Linked DNA regions of Caenorhabditis elegans. The protein of the gene in region 2 interacts with the protein of the main gene of each other region in a pairwise test. Each region holds a gene or a part of one and is shown on either strand. Other genes may lie near its edges.

Region 1 (4,445 bases), 5.8 Mb from region 2:
GATATTCCAGCATTGGCGAATGAATTATCAGAAACCTTTTTGGCAGCAACAGAAAGTAGAAGAAAGTTTGCAGTATTGACAGGAATTGCTGCAGATGAAAGTTTCAGTGATAAATTTTCAAATTTCTCGAAATGTTTGGATGAACTTCACGAAAAAGCGCCAAATTTAAAGGCAAGAATAATTACTGACTTTGAAATATTCAAAATACCTAAAAATTACATTTATTTGTTTGTTTGTTTATTCGAAATTTGATAAATAGTAACAAAATGTAATACATAGAAGATCAACGGGGAAAATCGAATAATACATAAAATAAGAAAATATTTCAAAGTTTAAAAATCAAGATCTGATTTTAATTTCTATATTTTAAAGAAAACTCGATTCATCCGTGGCGAATGGCTTTCAAGACTTCGAAACCAAGTTTTGATGGCCCAGTCATATTCTCCAACTCCTCAATATGATGTGTAAGTCTTTTAAGCGTAATCTGAGTTGTGAGTAGGGTGAGCTCAGTGATGGCAAACGACGCCGCCGTGACGTCTTGTTCTAATTGAGTGTATGCGTGCAAATAAACATTAAACTTGGTACTTTCAACGGAACAAACTTTTTTCAGAGTAAATCTTCTTCACATCAAGTTCTATTTTGCACACTTTAAACAAGAGACTATTCTTCAAGAAAGATCCTACAACTTATTTTTACTTCTTGGTGAGTTTTACTCGATGTGCTTGTAACTTTGAAAGTTTTCAGCCGAAATTGGAGGAACCATTGGATTATATGTTGGAGCAACACTTCTAACTGCAGCAGAAACTCTTGTTTTTCTTTGTGAACGAAAGAAAAGTAATATATTCCTAAAACCACAATTTATATAAAAGTATTCAATGTATTTTATTGTGTATTTTACGACTATTACATTAGATAACAATGGTTAACAAAATCTGAAAAAAAAAGTTATAGTTTACTGACTAAGAACGGACATAAGATCATGTGTTTGCATTCCCATAACAAGAGTTGATCCTCCATCAGCAACAATCGATTGTCCAATAATGTAAGATGAGAGGTTTCTATCAGCCAGGAATACAATGATATTGGCAATTTCTTCTGGCTTTCCACAATGCCCAACAGGAATGCATTCTTTCCGTGAGCCAATAAAACTGTAAAGCTTGTCAGATGCAGTTTCTGGTAAACCCATCGCTCCCATGAAACCAGTGGCAACTGCTCCAGGGCTGACAGAATTTACGCGGACACCATGTTGAATAAGATCGATTGCAGTGCATCTGGTGTATTGGTCAAGCGCAGCTTTTGCGCAAGCATAATATGGATATCCAGAGTGCTGAAAATTAAAACAAAAGTTCTGAAATCCTCTCTCCCGAAGCTTACTGCTTGTGGGCCAGCAACGATACTGGAAACATTTACAATCTCTCCTTTTGTCTTTATCAAATGTTCCTTTGTTTTCTGAGTCATTTCGATCACAGCTTGGAAGTTTAACTTGAATGTTTTCTGATACAACTCCACTGGTTGATCCGTATTAGCTGTTCCGTCAGCTAAATTGGCACCAGCATTATTAACCTAAAACAATTGAGTATATTTCATTTTCTATCTATGTACATACCAAGATATCAATTTTTCCGAATTTAGCAAGAGTCGTGTTGATGATATCATCTTGTCCTGATGCTTCGGTAACATCAGCAACCACGGCATTAATCTTCTCAGCTGGAACTCCTGCTTTCAATATTTGCTGTTTGGTTTCTTCTAGGCGATCTTCATTTCTTCCAGTAATTGTAACTTGAGCTCCTTCCTTTGCAAAAATCACAGCAGCCGATCTTCCGATTCCATTAGAAGAACCAGTTATAATGACAGACTTTCCAGAAAAGCGAGCCATTATTTTGAGATTACAAAAATAAAATGTCAATCAGATGAATGTGATGTTTAAATGCAGTTTAATGTTTTCTTTTTATACTCATTGCAGTTAAAATTATTTCATGGTTGAATGGAAGTTTGTAGTTTCCGTGACTAAAATATGAAATATCTGTTTACGTAGAGAGTATTTTCAAAGTTACTTCCCGAAGAGACCATAGACAGTGTAACAATTTTTGTGACTGTTAATTCCTCTGCGTCTCTTTGAATTGTGTCTATTTTTGTGCAAGCACAGTTGAGGGAAGATCAATTGATCAAGTTTTCAATATGAAAACACAACTATGATTTCAGGAATTTTAAAATTTTATTTGCTTAAAAAAAAAATAATTTCCGTGTCCAATAGTCTTGCACCCATCTCTCCATCTTTAGCTGCTTATTTTTCGGTTGTTTTTTTAATTTTGTCAGACATTCGCCAACTAGCAAAATATAAACAATAAGCTTTTTCTTAGGGCTTTAATAACACATTTCTAGTATCGTTAAAACGTAGTGCGACACTAGACGTCAAAATGAATTAATTTGGTGAGGAAATACGGTGAATAGTCTCTCTAGATCCAAAAACTTGTTTAACAATAATTGTTTGAGAGCTTTGGCACTTTATTTTAAAGTGTAATGTTGAACTGTAAATATTTTTTCATCGTTATTTTTATTTGCAGATCTTCGAACAATGTTTTTCATTTGTCGGTATTTTTTATTACTGTTATAAAAGTGCTTGTGTAATATCTTTGAACAATGTTATTTTATTCAATTGAGCAAAGTTCCGATTACTACTCCGATTAGTCCACCACTATCATTACCAATTATTCAAAATGCTCAAAAAATGGAAACAGCCGAAATATTGTTACGTCTAACAATTGCAGGTGAAACTTTTTTGCCACAAAACGTATCCTTGAAAAACGCAATAAAGGCTTTTTGGTACGGTGTGATGGTGACAATAACAATGAACGCATCAATAGCTGTTGGAAGAGAAAGCATCATATATAGAACTTTTTCAAAATTTGAGAGAAACGGCAAGTCTGAAAATTGTCACATATTATTTTACTGTAAAAACGGACAGGAGCCTACCATAATTCTCAAGTATTAAGTGAGCTATGTATATAGGAATCACACAAACTGCAGGGACAAGTGTCTGAATCGTCAAAGCAAGATCAAACTTCTTGGCTTGAGCAGCAGTTTTATCAGTAAATAAATGTTTTAAACTGTTGAGTTTAATTTGTATTAGTCTGGAAACACATTGGTAAGTATTTCTTCGAAACTCAAATTTATTACCTAATAAACACAATACTCATGATTGGTGGGACGAAAATGCTTATCATATTCAAATTTGTTGCTAACCAGCTCCAAAAATGTTTTTGATATCCAGTGATATCCGCATAGTACCGGAAATCATATTGTGTTGAATGAAACTTCCTGGTCTCTGAAGCAACCTCAAGAGATTCGTCTGGTTCGTACGTTATCACATAGATCACCTAGAAACATTCATATTTCCATTCTAGATCAATCACGAAAAGCAAAACTCACCCCCACAATTAAAGATAGAAGGTAAGAGCTTAAAAGAATCATTCTGATTTGATTTTTAGTTATGTTTTTCATATTAATATTTGTTACTTTTGTATATTTGTAAAACAATGTAGCAGGAATTGCAAAGGACGAGGCATCAAAGACTAACTGAATTTTGAATATTTGTAAAAAATAACAATTACAGGACACTTACCTGGAAAAAATCAAAACTGAAAAAGCAAGCATTTTTATGAGTGTGTCTACAAAACCCGCTAAAAAGATATGCTGACGATTCTGGATTGTTCACAGGTCTGAAGGAACAGTGTTAGCTAAAAATTAATATTATCGTACAACTAACCTGACTTGTGTGAAGACAACTATTATGCACATGAAAAACTGTAAAGTTGAAGAATTGACAAGAAAGACACGAAAATCTTTGAATACTACGGGCGTTTTAAAAACAACTAAAAGCACGACGGAAGTTTGACTGAACATGGTAAAACCAAAATAAACCCAAAAATAAATTGGAAATATGACAGTGTCGTAAAAGGTCTGAAATTAAAGTAACTGGCAATTACTTAAATGATAATCACAGATATTTTTCATATATGACAGGCAATGAAAGATTGGCATTTTAGTATATTTTTAAAAGTTTATTTTAAAAAGCAATCTTCCAATTGATTTTTCCTCATAAATACCTAACTAGGAGACTCACCATTGGTGGAAAAAGAAAAATTACTCACATTTGCTTCCATTGTCATAATACTAGAGTTGGCATTCTCATTGGATACATCCATGTGGTAGAAATTCTGAAATTCGTAATAAGAATATTTTTGTGAAAAATATCCAAGAAGTAACGAGGATGTTTACAATCTGGTAGATTTTTCTCGATTCGGGGAAATATATACTCCCTGTGGTAATATATTACCTAATTGTTATTCCTGTATGATGGTTTAAATCAGAACTACGTTCGGTTAAAACTAATTTGAATTCAAATCAAGATCTTTTTGTTTGTTGAAAAGTAGAGTAAAGTTTGA
Region 2 (5,961 bases):
GTGATTTTTCGGCGATCCGCGATCGCCGATTGCCGATAAAAAAAATTTCCATCGGCGATCGGCGATCGCCGATCGCCGATTTTTTTGGGCGGCTGCTCAGCCCTGCTCCCAACCCAAAACCTGCCCAACTACAATAAAGAGAGTTCAAAGATCAGAGATCAAAGTTCAAAATACATAGGGACAGAACGACACTGCGCGAAAAATACTAGACATTTCTCGAAAAAAATTCCCATTTTAGGAAATTTTGGCATATTTGGTCAAACTTTGAATGAAAATTTTGAGAAATCGAAAACCTTTTGGTTTTTTAAAAATAACTTATCACTCGGGATACTCTATCTTTAGAACTTAAATAAATTTTTTGCAATATGCATTTGGATTTTTTTTTTCCAAAACACAAAAAGCCATATTTAAATAATTTCCTTTCATTTTGAGTGTTCTTTGTAATTTCTGCAGCCTTTCAAATTAAATTATTGTTCTCTAACAACAAAATATTTTTCTTAACCCACGTATTTCGAATCTTATTGGTACAATTCCACACAAAACCTGAGCAATAAAACATATTTCTCCTCACACAGCTTGGTGAATCTGCTGCGGTCACAAGTCACTAGTCCTTTTCCACAATTTCGTCATTCAGTGAGACTTCAATCATCATCTCCTCCCTATGGGACTCTTTTTTAGCCTTCTATTGTTGTACTCTCTGACCTCAACTTGGACATTTTTAGATATTAGGTTCTCCAGGAAGTCTTTGTAACTGAGTTTGCTTTTCCATAGCTCGCCGCAGTTGCACTTTGGTGTTCGACAACTTCGTGACAATTACGTGACAACTTCGTGACAATTACGTGACAACTTCGTGACAACTTCGTGGCAACTTCGTGACAACTTCGTGACAACTTCGAGACAACTTCGTGACAACTTCGTGACAACTTCGTGACAACATCGTGCCAACTTCGTGACAACTTCGTGACAACTTCGTGACAACTTCGTGGCAACTTCGTGACAACTTCGTGACAACTTCGTGACAACTTCGTGACAACTTCGTGACAACTTTGTGACAACTTTGTGACAACTTTGGGACAACTTCGTGACGCTGTAAAGCCAAACGTAGTGTTACCTTCTTTCGCGAGCCAAAAAAACGCGAAAGAGGGGCGGAGTCTGCACACTCGGCATTTATTAGAGGCTGCTTGGCAGAATATAGAAATTGATGGTTTCATCTGTCCCTGGTCTCATCGTTTCAATTTCTACATTAAAGCCCACTTTTGTATTAATATCCCACATATCACCAATTTCTCATCTTATCATAGAATCTTTCAACATTATTATTTGTAACAATATTTGTATAAGTAGTATCTCTAACGTTTTATTTAAGAAAAATAATAATGAAGTTGACATTACAAATGTTTGAATATGGTAATATCAGTGGAAAAGATGACATAGATATATAATCTTTTTTAAAAAACGAATACAAATCAGCGCATAGAACACGGTACAATTGATGTAGAGGGATACGTAATATGCTGGAAAAATGGCGATACAGTCCAAACTTGTCTATTCTTTTTTTGCTTGACGCCGCTTTCGAGTAGTTGGCTTCTGCTTGCAGAGGGATAACGGGCGTTTCACTTTGTTGTGACGGTAATACAAGTTGCAAGCACTGAAAATATTACTTTAATAGTGGAACTAATGATGTATATTTAACTAGTCATTAAAATTAATAAAATTTTAAATTCGAAATTCTAAAAAATAATCGAAAATTATAAGCAAGTTCAACTGAGAATTTTTGATTTGGAATGTAAATGTTCTAAATGTTCGAAAAAATTCAGGGGTAGGCGGCAAGTGCCATTCGGCAAATTTTTTTGTCAACAAATTTGGCAAATCGATAAATTGCCGGTTTGCCATTTTGCCGGAAATTTTCATTTCCGACAATTTGCCGATTTTTCGGAAATTGAATTGATGATTTTTGTTTTTAGAGGGATTTTTTATAAGACGGAAACATTTAAAACTGTGCATTTTTGAAATGTTTTCTCCGTTTTCTTTAGATATTTTCACAGAACTTGCTTACTTTTCAGAATAGATGTAGGAACATTCATAGGATGCGTACAATTTTGCCGATTAAAATTGAAATTCGGAAATTTCCAAAAAAAATGTGCAAAACCACAAATTGCCGAAAATTTTCGGCAAATTCGGAAAATCGACAAATTGCCGGTTTGCCGATTTGCCGACTTGCCAGAAAAACAATCGGTTGCCGCGCACACCTGGTAGAAATAATATAAAAGAATATAATAAAATATAAACTTACTTGCACTCAAGATTCCCTTCATCATTTTTACGCCAAAGTGTGGTTGTAGTTGTTGAGCAGTGTGAGCAGCACGCATCACGAATTACCTGAAAAATTTCATATAGAAATATTTATTTCATTCTAAACCCTCGAATCCTACTTTTGCAATTTTCTTTCCCTTCTGTGAACCAAATCGGTTTCCAGATGATTCGTAACTGCTATCTTGCTCCACAAAGGATTTTTGCTCATTTTCATTTTTCGTCAAGCTTTCATCAAAAATAATTCTGGAATCTTCAAGTGGTTGTAATGGAGTAGTACACATTGACGACTGAATTGGTTGTTCGTATGGAGATGGAATTTGATAACTCTGGAATGGATCAAAGTGATGAGTTGAAGCATCTTGCCAAGTATTGTAGTACACGGGCTGCGGTGGGTAGACATATGGACTGAAAAGTTGGAGTTTTTATTCTCTCAAGCTGAGCTGAGTTTGTAGTACATTTGTGGTGCAGGAGACTAGGCAAAAGATTTGTAAGCAGTTGGTAAAATTTGGCAGGAAAAGTTAAGCGGAAAGTTGTTAAAATTTGTCAGAAAGTTGCCAAAAGTTTTGCAAGAAGTTGCCAAAAGTTGGAAAAAAGTTGCCAAATGTTGTCAAAAAGTTGCCAGAGCTTGGCAGGACGATGCCAAAAGTTGGCAAAAAGTTGTTAAACTTTAAAAGAAAGCTATCAAAAGTTGGCAGAAAGTTGCAAAAAGTTGTCAGAAAATGTCCAAAGATTGACAGAAAGTTGCAAAAATTTTGCAAAAAGTGTTAACATTTGAAAGAAAGTTACGAAAGGTAGACAGAATTTTTTAACTGCTTTGTAGGAAATTGTTAAACTTTGAGAGAAAGTTGGAAATTACCTACAATTGCCAAACAGGAAACATGTTAAGTCATACACTTTAAGCCATTCCCAGCATGAAACTCGTTTTTCAGACTCTCAAATTATAATAATAAACCTTAAAAAATATAATAATTCTCAAAGATTCCTATTCTCAAAAACACTGAAAACTACTGATTATAAGCAGTATACTTTGGAGCATTCGATATTGATTTTTATCAGTTATGCTACATGAGTTCAATAAAACATAGTTTTGGTCACATGTTGGAACAAAGTTGTTGTTTTTGTATACATTACTACAGGAAAGTAATATTTTGGTAGTAATGTAAAAACCATATAATTCTGTTGATAGTGAATATTTCAATTTAAGTTTGCCGTAAAAATAATACAATTACATTATGCAACATTTTTATGCACTGCAATAAAACAGTTTTGATTTCAAAACTTACTTTTGATTATATTGAAATTGATTAAATAAATAATAGTCCTCCATTGGACTTCTCGCTGGCGGCTCATTCATGATAGTCGTAACAGATGGAAGTGGTTGAAGAGTAGTAGTTTCAGGGAGCATTTTTTCCAGTCGACTAGAGCAGACAACTCTAACCACAAATGTCTGTCTTTGTTACAGGCAGGAAAGTAACAAAGAGCCCGGAGAGATCCTAGAGAAAGAGACAAAAAAGGTCAGAGTGATAAGATAGACCGGCGGCGGTGGTGATGGGGAACTGTGTGTGGCTCACCACCCATCATTAGTAGTTTATGATATAATGACTATGAACCTGGACGGCAAAGTTCTTAAAGGGAAGGAGAACGAAAGTAAATATGACTTGGGACTTTTATGGATAGTCGTAAATTAGTGGTAAGTCAGAGATGCATGTACCTATGCCTTGTGTGCCAGTGGACGAGCAAAAAAAGGAAACATGGGAAAGAGGGGGGGGGGGTGCGGCAAATCTCAAAATTTGCAGAGTCCGGCAAAACCGGCAAATTTGACAAATTTGCCCTGGTCGGCGAACCCGGAAAATCTCGATATTTTAAAACTATTTTTTGGATCACAAAATTGACGAAAAAGCTTTAAAAGTGTAGCATTCTGGAAAAAAAATTTTTTTTAAAGATACTCACAAAATTTTGTGTTATTTCATTCATTTCTTTCTTCTAAACTCAAGGCAAATTTTAGAGTATTCCGAGCTTAACAAATGGCAAATTGGACAAATTTGTCGCGAATGGGAAATCTTGTTCCAAGTTGAAATGCTGTGTCCTGGAGGAAGTGTGCAATTATTTTTTTTTAAGTTGAAGTAATGTGCAAAAGGGGCATAAACTGATTGTGAGAGTGCATAGTGTTTATAATTTAATTCTTGTATTATCGGTAGCCTATTTCTAACGTGTTTTTTTTTAAAATACATATAATTTATTTAAAATGAATGCTTGAAAAATCAACATGGAATGTAGTTTTACGTAAACTGTATTTTTCTATTAAAAAAAGTGTAGATTTGGAAAAAGATAAGAATTCAGAACTGTGAGAGGCGATTTTAAATTCATTATTTTTATTCAAATTACTAGCATTCGCGGCTTCTCAACTAACCGACTAACCCCCAATGTGCGTCTCGAGACCAGGATTGAGTACAACTCGGAGGTAATATAAGGTATTAGAATTACGAGTTCTCAGTTAACCGCTACAGATCTCGACACGAAATTACTTACACCACACAAAATGAGGAATCTGCAGAAAATTGGTATAAGATGGCTAATTCGAATTTCCGATCGGCAGTGTTTGAGGTATGAATCCCGATTTTTATAATCGGAACTTTGTGCCTACAGTACCCGCATGTGTTTCAAAATTACCTCTACAGTTTATTTTTTCCACTTCTACGACTTTAAAGGAGGGCGCATTTATTCAAAATGGTCCCGCCACGCTCCACCCATTGGTCTCGCCACGCGCTTCAAAAATCAATGAATGGCGCGTGACGAGACCATTTTGAATGAATGCGCCCTCTTTTGAAGTCGTAGAAGTGGAAACAAATACACTGTACTTTTGCAATTTCGCTCAACTTTTCGCAATTAATAGCGCTAAAACTCCGGGTTTTTGAAAAAAAAAACCAAAAGTACGGGGAAATGGAGAAATATGTGCGCGGAAATACTGTACCTGGTCTCGGCACGATTGAAACCTTTCAGCTACCGTACACCACAAGTTTTCGTAATCGTCTATTTCTAGACTTTCACCAAATTCATAGCGCTAAAATGTGTTTTTAGTGAAAAATTGAGGAACATTTGCGGATACGATACCTAAAAAGACCCACTACCGTAACATAAACAAATATAATTTTCAGAACCGTGTCCACGTGTGGGCACTCCCACTGAGCTATTCTCAATCGAAATATGGTGGCCGGAAGACTCCCTCATCTGCTTGCACAATAATCACTGTCCAGATTGCTCACGATTTCTTGAGGTTTGTGAAATTTTAGTGCGATCGAAAAGTAAATCCATCTTTTAGCAAGAACGTCTGTATCCCACCCACGCATCCTTTGACACCTCAACATCTTCCACTTGGCGTCCTCGATGTTCTTATTAACGGAATTGTTGATGGCAATGAGACACACGAAAAGGCTATGGCAGCTCGACGACGAGGATTCAGTGGAAGTCTAAAAAAGAAGCATCTTGAAGAGACAGGGGAAAGTGGTTCAGTCTTCCAATTTTTGAAGAAACCACATCGAGACACGTTCACTGTGCCAGAAGCTATTCAAGTTCAGCGGCCCGAGATGCATGAGATTGACTACCCATGCTATTCTGGAGACTTTATTAGCAATCTCGTGACAGCTATGT
Region 3 (4,488 bases), 4.3 Mb from region 2:
AACTCCAGTTTCCTTCATCACACTTCTTTTTGAATTTTTTCCAATATTTGATGGTTTATTGAACTTGGAAATGTTTACTCAAAAACAAATTATTTTGGACAATCTTTCTTATCAATGCATCTGAGTCCATGACGAACGAAACCTTTGGAGCATTGGCAGACATTGACGATACATTGTTTAGTGCAAACTGTTGGATTTGGTTTCTCACAAGTTGCTTCACAAGCTGTTCCACAGCCAAAGAATGTCTCATTTTCTGGGCATTTTGTAGTTTCCTTGGTGCATTCAGATACTTCGACGCATTTTCCAAGAGAATTACGAACAAATCCGTCTTTACAGTCACATGTGTTCATGATACATTGCTCCGTGCAAGCTTTCTAAATTTTGAAACTTTCAGTAATGGGAGACACATTAAGTTAATTGTTACAGGGGTATATCCACATTGTGGTTCACATGTATTATGGCACGATACCAGCTCCTCATTGGCTTCACATGTTTCTAAAAAAATATTTATGATCTGGTAACCGTTCAAGTACCAAATCACATATATTTACTTACTTGTGGCGGTAGCAACAGCAACGATGCATGTGATTATGACAAGTATCCTCTGTAAGTGTATAATTTTTATATTAGAAAAAAAACTCAAAAACTCACCATTTTCACAATAACGAAGGGCAACCAACCGATGTTTTGCTTTTTAACGGCTCTATTTATTGTGCCGGAACACTAAAAAACGGCAGAACCGCCCTTTTTTTCGGAAGGGATGATACGAGAAACATGATAAGATCGAATGGGAGATATTATAGGTCTTCTCAATCTTTTGGAGAGAAATTTATCTTTCACCGGTCACGTATTTATTTTGTAAATTGGGCTCACAACAAAGGTTTAAAAATCTCGAAGAATTTGTATTCGAAAATTCAGAAAAAATCAGAAACACATTAAATCGAGAACCTTACGAAATTTCATTCCGACCAATGATTTTAATGAATCAATTCACTAGAAGATATCAATTTAAAACGTATCGCTTGGTGCAAATAGTTTTGGCTTGGCTCACTGGAGAGTATTTCGAATGTGTTTCATCCATAATTACCAACTTAACATTGTTTGGTTAACACTGACTTTTTGTATTCATTGTATTGCAACACGGAATAGTTCATAAGTTTTTTGGCTATTGAAAAGGAATACAAATATTATGTTAAAATTCGAATATTGTTATTTTTAAATTTTCTGAAAACATTAGCATGAAAACATCAATATTAAAATATGAGAAAAACAACTTTTTTTTTAATCATCGAAAATATTATTCAGTGGTATGTTGTGCAACACATACGTCCACAATTTGGCATGGTTTCTCCTCACAAGTCAGCTCCACAAGTTCACATTTTTCGTTCTCAGAGCATTCAAGAGTGCATTTGCCTGAATGAAAAATTTATGACTAGTATTATGTGCAGGTTTTCAGCGAATAATCACTGATGGTTAAATTGGTTAAAGTCTAGTAATAAATTTTGAAGCTTACTGCATTTATTTTTCTCCACACATTTTCCAGTTGCCGAGTCTCTGACGAGTCCTTTCTTACACTGGCAGACGTTTGTCATACACACCAAATCACATTCCTGAGAAACAATTTATGATCATACATAATCTCAACGTTGATTTACTGGATTCTCGTTATCACATGTCGGTTCACACGCTGAGCCACACGCCTTGAGCTCTTCATCGCCCTCACATTCCGGTTTGCGGATTGCTGGAAGTTTCCAAGAACCACTGGATATTTTTGGTTTCACTACACTTACGGATTGGCACGCACTTTGGATCAACTGAACAATCGTCTTCAGAACCACATTCCAAGTCACTGACTGGCAGTTCGCATCTGAAAAAATATTTTAAAATTTATAATTGGAAATATTAAAACCTATAATTATCAGGACATTTGATAGAACCACAGAGTGCGTCTGTGTGAGAAATGGGCATGTTTTCTGTGTTTTCTGAAAATAAGTCATTTGATTTTTAAATAAAACCTTGGTACTCACTAAGAACTCCAGATCTAGCAAAAGCAAGAAGAGCAAAGAAAATAAATAATTGAAAATTCTGAAAAAACACACTTTCATTTGTTGTAAGATATGAAGAAAAAACCACTCACCATTTTGATGAAAGAATTTCTGAAGAAACTTTCGGAGTGGGGAAGTTATGAGAAGGAAGCAATCATTGAAATAAAATTGACAGGCGTGAGACCGAGGATGAGTCAAAAGATTAATGACTTGGTGAGACCGGAGAGAGTTCAGCCGACCGGAATATTTCTTGAGTGCTGTTTTTTTAAGTTTAAAAATATGTTATTTACAAAATTACTTTCTACGAAAGTACGCCTGAGAAGAACAAAGAAGTAACTGTTTTCGGTTTTTGCTTGAATAGACTCAAAATGCGCCCTAGGCAAAATTTTGGTAATGAGAAATCTCAAAAATTATGCAATTTTTTTGAGAAGTCTTATTATGAAAGTTGCCCATTTGAGTATTTTTATTATATACAAGCAAAAACTCAAGACTGTTGGAACAGAAGATTAACTGCTGGGATGGGCTTTGAATATATTCAAAATAGCTCCAAAAGCCAGAAACTTCATAAAAATAACTCGCAAAAATACTCAAAAACTGTGTACAGCCGTTCAAAAATTTTTAACGTTGTTTCCAAATTGTGAAAAAAATAGTAAAAGAAACAAACAATAAATATTTTGTCAGCTAACAATCTTTGTTTAGAACAAACGACAATTGAGATACGCTGATCAGCTGCCAAAGTCGAACAATAGGTGTGATTCTAATAGATAAAACACGGTACTTTCCAGTTCCAATAATTCCAATACCCCTAAATCTAATTCATTTATGAGAAGTCTCCTATTGAAAATTGATAATTTTAAACACGTTTATGTGGTTAGTTTGCTCTCAAAACAGTTTGCTCCGTCGAAAATTTTTTAAAAGAAGCTTTCAGATAATAACTTTTTGATTATTCAAGTACAAGTTTTGGCAAGTCTACAAACTTCTTGACAATTCCCTCAAGCTTATATATAAAAACTTTGGCATTGTTTGTTAGAAATCGTTTGGTTATTCTGACATTTGAAAATTGATTTATTACACTGTATGAAATTCACAAAATTCCATCACAGTGTCGATTTTTTTAGCAAAATACAATTTGAATGATCTCTTGGATTGCTTCCTTCTGGACATGCAAAAATCTTGCAAGCGGGGCCAACAGGACATGGCTTGTTAATACATGGAATAGGCACAGGAATACATATGGATTGACCGTAACATGTTACAAAGTCACATGCATCTGGTAGTTGTGAATGTGAATATTTAGCCAGAAATATAAAATAACAGAACAGAAAAAGTAACTTCATTTCTATAAACTGAAGTGAATGAAAACAATCAAAAAGGAAAACATGGGAAAATGCATTGCGTGACTACGAAAAATAAAAGGAAATGTGCCTAACGAGAAGAAGTATAATTGAATTTTCTGTCTTGATAGTCCTCGAAAGATTTATCCGAGCAAATTGCCATCAACGGATCACATGTTTTATTTGGAAGACATTCTACTTTTGCAACTTTGCAAACTGTCTCTCCGTAACATTTCACTGTTGGTCCATTCAAACAAAGCCGATCGTAATCTTTCAAATTTAAATGAGTACTGAGAATAGTATAGGGACGGTTTTCCCGAGCCAATCTGGGTTTGTCTTCTGAAATTATTTGTTAGTCGTGGTAAAACTGCGTGTTTTGGAAAATGTAAAATAAAGTCATAAGTAATAGCTGAAGCCAATCAGAAATTAAATCAGAAGTTTTTCGAGCAAACAAAAAAAAACATTCAAAATTTGTTCAACGAAAATATAATTAAGTGAAAGTAAAAACCATCCAAGAATCAAATTTTTGGAATAGTTTTATTATTGGTTACTTTTTTGCAATGATACAAGATTTATATTTCACTTGTTTGCCATAAAACATCACTACAGATTTGGCCAGTCGAATAAATCTTGTTACAGAAATGCTTACCGTTTGCGAACGAGTTGAGATATATGATGACTATAGACATTAAAGTCACCCTGGAAGTTTAAATATTGAAGTTGGAAAATAATCGAAATGAACTCACGATATGTATATTGCTCGAAAGGATGCCATTTTAAGAAAAAAATATTGGTTGAAGGAAAATTTTAAAAAAATTAAGGTAGCACCATCGAAAAAAAACCTCATAATGTTTACGAGGATTGAATAATTATAGGTTTATGTTGTAAGTGGAGAGTCATCACAGAATGGTAAATAATTAATGCAGGTTGGATCATCTATACAAGGAACTCGGACAATTGTGCAAGTATTCATTCCAAAACAATTGATACCTTGGCAGAGAGTGTCTTTATCATTCGAGTTCATATAGTCTGGCTTGGATACCAGTACTGAAATAAATAAAATCCGTGATTAAAATAGTTTAAAAAAAATGGATTTTAGGCCTATTTCG
Region 4 (5,449 bases), 1.8 Mb from region 2:
AGAAAATTTCTACGTTTATATTTCTAATTTCAATTTTTGTAGAAAATCATTCTTGAAAGTATTTGCATCAATGCCGGAAACTACTTTCATTTGGAAGTACGAAGTAGCGAATGCAACGTTGGCAGATCATCTTCCAAATGTTAAACTGATTACTTGGATGCCACAAAATGATATTCTTGGTGAGTAATCGTTATAAGCTTTTATATTTTTACAAATTTGCTCATATAATTTGCAGCTGATGAGCGACTAACACTTTTTATAACTCACGGTGGACTTGGAAGTTCTGTGGAGATTGCTTACCAAGGGAAACCGGCAGTTGTTGTGAGTTTTAATGATTTAGTTGGTCGTGAAGTATAAGGAAACTTACTTCAACTTTTCTATTAATTCTGCGTAGAAAAACTAGATTTTCTAAAAAAAAGTAGTAAACGAAAAAAACCATACTTTTTCCAAAAATATAATTTCAACAAAAATAAATGTTTGCGAAAATGTTGAGGTTCGGCCCTGATGTATGCCTTCGAGTTCTAAACATTTCAACTGTTAGGAAATGATTTTTCATTATTGCCACCGCTGCGGAGCGACCGGAAATCAGTCTTGCTTACAAATAGAGATATTACGGCAATAATGAAATTTTAAATGTAGAAAAATATAAAAAACACCACAACTAAAGTTGAAAACATTTTTTAAAAGTTTTACTTTTCAGATCCCATTAATGTCTGATCAACCAAGAAATGCTCACATGATCACAAGACATGGTGGTGCCCTTCAATTGGATAAAACTTTATTGAATAAACCAGAAGAAATTATAAAAGCTATCCAAACTGTTTTGAATGATGTCAATTACAAGCACAACGCAGAACGCCTTGCCAAAATTCTTGAAGAACAGCCACACAAACCGAAGGATGTGGTTCTGAAACATTGTGACTTTGCTGTTCAATTTGGTTCATTAGATACATTGAATTCAGAAGGAAGATTATTAAATACTTTCCAATTTTATTCTTTTGATATTCCTCTTGCTATTTTTGTTATTGTATGTATTATTTTGTTTGTAGTTTATCTTGTTATCAAACTTTTATTCAGGTTTATCGGACGACAATTTCCGCTTTTAAAGCAAAAAATAGATTAGATTTGGTGGTCTATGGAACTAAATTTTTTCAATAAATTTGAATAAAGTTAACTGTTATTGTATTTTGATGATTCCGCACTTCTTCAGGTTTACTAATAGATCATTCTAATATTCTCTCTCGTCGTCACGACACAACATTAAGTTACATATTATCTCGTATTTTATACTTCAGTCACGAGTTTCAATTGTGTTGTAATACACTTTCACTGAATGCAAATTTTATTTCTTGTCAAACATATTTATAAACTTATTTGCTAGTTTTTATAAAACTTATTTTGAAGTTTCGCCAATGCGAATTAAAAAAAGAAGACTCGTAATATAGAAACACACGTACTGCTAAACAGTTTTTTTTACAGTTTCCTTAAAACCAATGTATTCTGAATCTGTCCAAATATGGGTTTTGAATGAAGTCGATCAGAAGTAAGATCATTTGCTTCTTCCTTGTCTCCGGAGAATGTGTCAAGCCATTCGAAACCGTACATCATCATAGCAAGTCGAATTGATCCATAAATTCTATGCGCGTTGTATTGAATAGAATCCGTTCCCAATGGAAAACCGATGAATAACAGTCCTAAACAATGTGTTTTCTTGGGTTGAAAATATTTCCATTACCTCCTGGTTTCAAGACACATTTGATTTTTAGCATTTCTCTCAAGTCACCAAGCGGATCAACTGGATCACCGTATCTTCCTAATCCAGAATGCTCTATAGAAGAGAAGGATGCAGCAAAATCAAACGTTCCAGCATAGCTGAAAATGTTTCAATTATGTAATACATATTAGCAAACTTAATAAGTGCGCGGCACTTGCCAATCAGCATAAAAGCCAATGTGGCGGGATTCCCGAATATTTTTCATGACAATTCTGTGACCGAATATAGAAAATACGTGCTTTATTTGATAATGGTTTCTGTTTTGATATAAATAATTGAAAACCCGCTCAAAAATGTCTAAAATTTGCTTGAAAAAATATCGATAGTTTCTCTAATGTTTTTTTTTCAAACTTTCAGACAATTTTTGAGCGGCTTTCCGTTTGTTTCTATCAAGATAAGGGCTATTGTCAGATGAATATAGATGTTTATCTAAATTCTGTACCTAAATTGTGATGAAAATTATTGGAAAAAATGCCACTTTGACTCATTTTTCAGAATTGCTGATCGGCAATTGCCGCGCGCCCCTGAGCTGGTTTCTGTATCTTTTCGATTTTTAAATTTTGGGAACAAAATATTAAAGTAACATTTTTACAGTCTCTTGAATCTTTTTAATTTAAAAAGCTTACTCCCGCCAATTTTTCACAAAATCGATAGGAAGAATGGAAGACATTCTATCCCTGAATTCTTCCTGAATAGTCAATTTGTTATATTCAACAGTGAGAACTTTGGAAGCACCTGTAAAATAATTTTTATGTTTATTTTTGTTACAGCAGCGTATCTATGTATATGCGAAGCCTTGCAAAACACTAACCACTTTGAAGAGCTGAAACTTCAACCCATGGTTGCATACTTCCAATAACAACACCACTCTTTCCATCAAGCCGGTAGGCATGCATAGCGTCGTATATTGACACTGAAATACTCCATTTTTATTGAAGAAATTTAAAATTAAATTGTTTCCACCTCCATCTGATCCATACGCCAATCCCCCTAACTTTGCTCTTGGCCACTTGATGAGTTCGGAAAGATTTTCCCAATTTCTTGGCTTCTCTCCTTTTTCTGAGTTTTTATCGTTGATATACCACTGAAATTAAGAAATTTTTTTCTGAAAAAAATTGTTTCTCACATACATCACTCAGCGCTGTGTAGTTATACAATAAGAATTCATTCATTCGCTCTGCCGGAATTGTTTTTGGAGGAAATTTTGGTTGTGGTTGCTCGGAGATTTTTTGCCACGCAAAGAACACCTTCAATAAAATTCATATTAAAAAATATATATTTCATGATAATTTACCTCTTCACATGTTGGCTCGTTGATCATCCGAACTGTGGGCACCGGATAAGTGGGCCGAGTAATTTCGTAACCAAATTTTTTGAAAACCTAGAATAAATATTTTAAACAAGAAATGTGAAAAAAACTTACATTTTCGTTCAATTCATCCATTGATACATATCCTCTATAAGTTTTAATTTTGTATTCCTTGAGGTTCACAGCGGGAAATGGATCCGGCAGTTTGATCCTCGAGATCGAATTTTTCAAGCTTCGCACAGAATTACTATCATTTAAAAACCTGAAAATAATTGGAAACATTAAACTAATTTCACATTTTCTATTAATGTTTGGGGAAAATAACTCACAAAATTGTTATCATTAGAAACAAGCCAACTATGAGTAAAATTGGATAAAATCGAGACGGACATAAAAACGGATGTGCTCTGTTATTCATATTTGGAAAGCCTTTGTCTGAAAAGAGAAACAACTAATGATTGGTGGTTAGTTGTTCTGTTTGTATTGCTGAGCAATCAAACTGTGACCAATAATAAAAGAATCGAGTAGTTCGGAGAAATGAAATAGTTATTCCCAGAATATTGTCTGGAATGATGTTTATTCTTAATCAATTTATACTAAAATTGCAAATAACTAAAACTTTATTTTTAAAAAAGCCTTTAAAAAGTTTCAAGAAATCATTAAATTAAGAAAAAAATCTTCATTTCATCAGGGAACTATAATTTTTTTTCAAAAATTGTATTGCTGATGAAAATTTCAGATTGAACTTGATGTATATATATCTACAAACTATTAATTAAAATTCGAAATATTTTGTGATTTAATTGGCAAGGGCTCCAGTTTTTAGAACGTGGCATTGAGCTTTTGAGCAAGGCGGAAAATCAATGAACGAAGAAAAGTGGGTTAACGCATAATGACGGTGTGCCAAATAGTGACTGATAAAGGTGTAATGAAACATACTTTAGATTCAAATGGGCACACCCTTTTGTTTACATTAACAATACATATTGAATACACGTTGAGAAAAGATTAATAATATGAGTGTGGTTATTCATTCTAAATAAAACAAACGGATGAAATTGAAAAGGTTTTTTCTTTTTACTGTTAAATTCTTAACTTCACTCATTTTCATTTTCTACAAACAATTATTTTTCGATTTATTTCCTATTTCACCAAACTGTTTAATAAATGTATAATCAGAATTCATTTCTATATTTTTTACGTTGACTGGCAGCAGATGTGGAAAAATTCAACATTTTTGCTCAAATTTTCATTTGAAAATTTATAATAGTACTTTCTTGAATTGAAGACTATTCATTCGTCTTTTCGAATTTTTTATACACAACTCCTAACCAAAATTGAGTATTTTTTGTATACTTACAGACTTACATAGTAGGCAGAAAGATTGCATAAAAGTTGGCATTTATTTAAAAGTTGACAGAAATATAAAGTATCTTTGATAACAACCGCAATCAAGCCATTGAATGTTAAGCCTGATGAGTCATTACTTTGTCCAAGAATAATATATCTAGTTTCTTAACCTAGATATCCTCAACTTTTAATTGATTAAATATCGTGGGTTAGAAGTTAACAAGTTTTTAGCTGATTACATCTTTTAATCTTGGGTGTCCGAGGAGATACATAGCTCCAGAGAAAGGAGATTTTCATAAAATATTTATGGAGACATTTCTAATTGAAAAAGTAAAATTAACTATTTACAGTTAAAAAGACGATTGTTTTCCCCGTATTAAATTGATGTTCTTGAAGAAAAATCATTTTGTTTTTGGTAAATTTTTATTTGAGAATGTTGATGTGTAGTCAGATTAAAGTGTTCTCAAACAAAGGGTAAGATTTGAAAAATTGAATGATTAAATGGAACAAAATATCGGGCGCCTGAAAAATTAAAAAAATGCGTTTCATGTTTACACAACTAAACAATTAATTAGGAGATTTATTACAAGCAGGGTAATGTGCTTTGTTGCATTTTTTTTCAAATTCGTTACACAAATATTATTGATGGACAATGTAAAAATATTGAAACGTCCAAAGTGTCTGATTTCACTGAAAATTCAAAATTTTTTCAAACAAAAAATTGAATAGTGAAATTGGCAGATTGGATGTTTGTTTCATTTTTGAGATTCGCGAGATTTTATAATTTTATTCAAGCTAAAGCAGAGAAATCAATAGTTGTAGATGTTATATTAGCTGAGATTCAGAAAAAATATTACGATTTCGTGAACATAAAAAAGTATTTGGAATAGAATTTCATGTTCATCCTGTACAGGAAGAATAGGCTACATTAGGGAAATAGAGCAAAAGGTCGTGCAATGTGTATTTGTTATGAATATATTACGAGATGGAATTTTTATTATTAACAAATACATCAC

Evidence for each region.
Region 1: the proteins of elt-7 (region 2) and F25D1.5 interact in a two-hybrid assay, tested with the Caenorhabditis elegans proteins (one large-scale study listed by BioGRID).
Region 3: the proteins of elt-7 (region 2) and C25E10.10 interact in a two-hybrid assay, tested with the Caenorhabditis elegans proteins (one large-scale study listed by BioGRID).
Region 4: the proteins of elt-7 (region 2) and K04A8.1 interact in a two-hybrid assay, tested with the Caenorhabditis elegans proteins (one large-scale study listed by BioGRID).

Annotation. Positions count from the first base shown.
Region 1 is NC_003283.11:10,544,877-10,549,321, forward strand, and holds F25D1.5 (DeHydrogenases, Short chain), read right to left. Parts: upstream 1,908-4,445; 5' UTR 1,877-1,907; coding exon 1,607-1,876; intron 1,564-1,606; coding exon 1,375-1,563; intron 1,328-1,374; coding exon 953-1,327; 3' UTR 867-952; downstream 1-866. Other genes in the region: degt-1 (Acid-sensing ion channel 1), read left to right, coding at 1-171, 373-464, 611-702, 745-866; srd-34 (Serpentine receptor class delta-34), read right to left, coding at 2,722-2,924, 2,974-3,131, 3,178-3,377, 3,430-3,576, 3,623-3,719, 3,767-3,804, 4,152-4,205.
Region 2 is NC_003283.11:4,768,471-4,774,431, reverse strand, and holds elt-7 (Transcription factor elt-7), read right to left. Parts: upstream 3,763-5,961; 5' UTR 3,719-3,762; coding exon 3,597-3,718; intron 2,719-3,596; coding exon 2,433-2,718; intron 2,380-2,432; coding exon 2,294-2,379; intron 1,649-2,293; coding exon 1,546-1,648; 3' UTR 1,346-1,545; downstream 1-1,345. Other genes in the region: C18G1.9 (FERM domain-containing protein), read left to right, coding at 4,737-4,774, 4,821-4,917, 5,469-5,587, 5,633-5,961. UniProt on the Caenorhabditis elegans protein: Transcriptional activator that binds to the consensus sequence 5'-[AT]GATA[AG]-3'.
Region 3 is NC_003283.11:9,054,179-9,058,666, forward strand, and holds C25E10.10 (TIL domain-containing protein), read right to left. Parts: upstream 2,176-4,488; 5' UTR 2,141-2,175; coding exon 2,138-2,140; intron 2,086-2,137; coding exon 2,028-2,085; intron 1,983-2,027; coding exon 1,910-1,982; intron 1,868-1,909; coding exon 1,791-1,867; intron 1,742-1,790; coding exon 1,656-1,741; intron 1,611-1,655; coding exon 1,514-1,610; intron 1,414-1,513; coding exon 1,298-1,413; 3' UTR 1,148-1,297; downstream 1-1,147. Other genes in the region: Serine protease inhibitor swm-1, read right to left, coding at 90-374, 425-495, 556-604, 652-654; C25E10.11 (INSulin related), read right to left, coding at 3,471-3,718, 4,029-4,078, 4,126-4,154; C25E10.16 (Prohormone-3), read right to left, coding at 4,257-4,426.
Region 4 is NC_003283.11:6,564,628-6,570,076, reverse strand, and holds K04A8.1 (Methyltransf_11 domain-containing protein), read right to left. Parts: upstream 3,519-5,449; 5' UTR 3,502-3,518; coding exon 3,413-3,501; intron 3,346-3,412; coding exon 3,198-3,345; intron 3,156-3,197; coding exon 3,069-3,155; intron 3,022-3,068; coding exon 2,905-3,021; intron 2,859-2,904; coding exon 2,738-2,858; intron 2,688-2,737; coding exon 2,586-2,687; intron 2,510-2,585; coding exon 2,401-2,509; intron 1,873-2,400; coding exon 1,736-1,872; intron 1,695-1,735; coding exon 1,474-1,694; 3' UTR 1,330-1,473; downstream 1-1,329.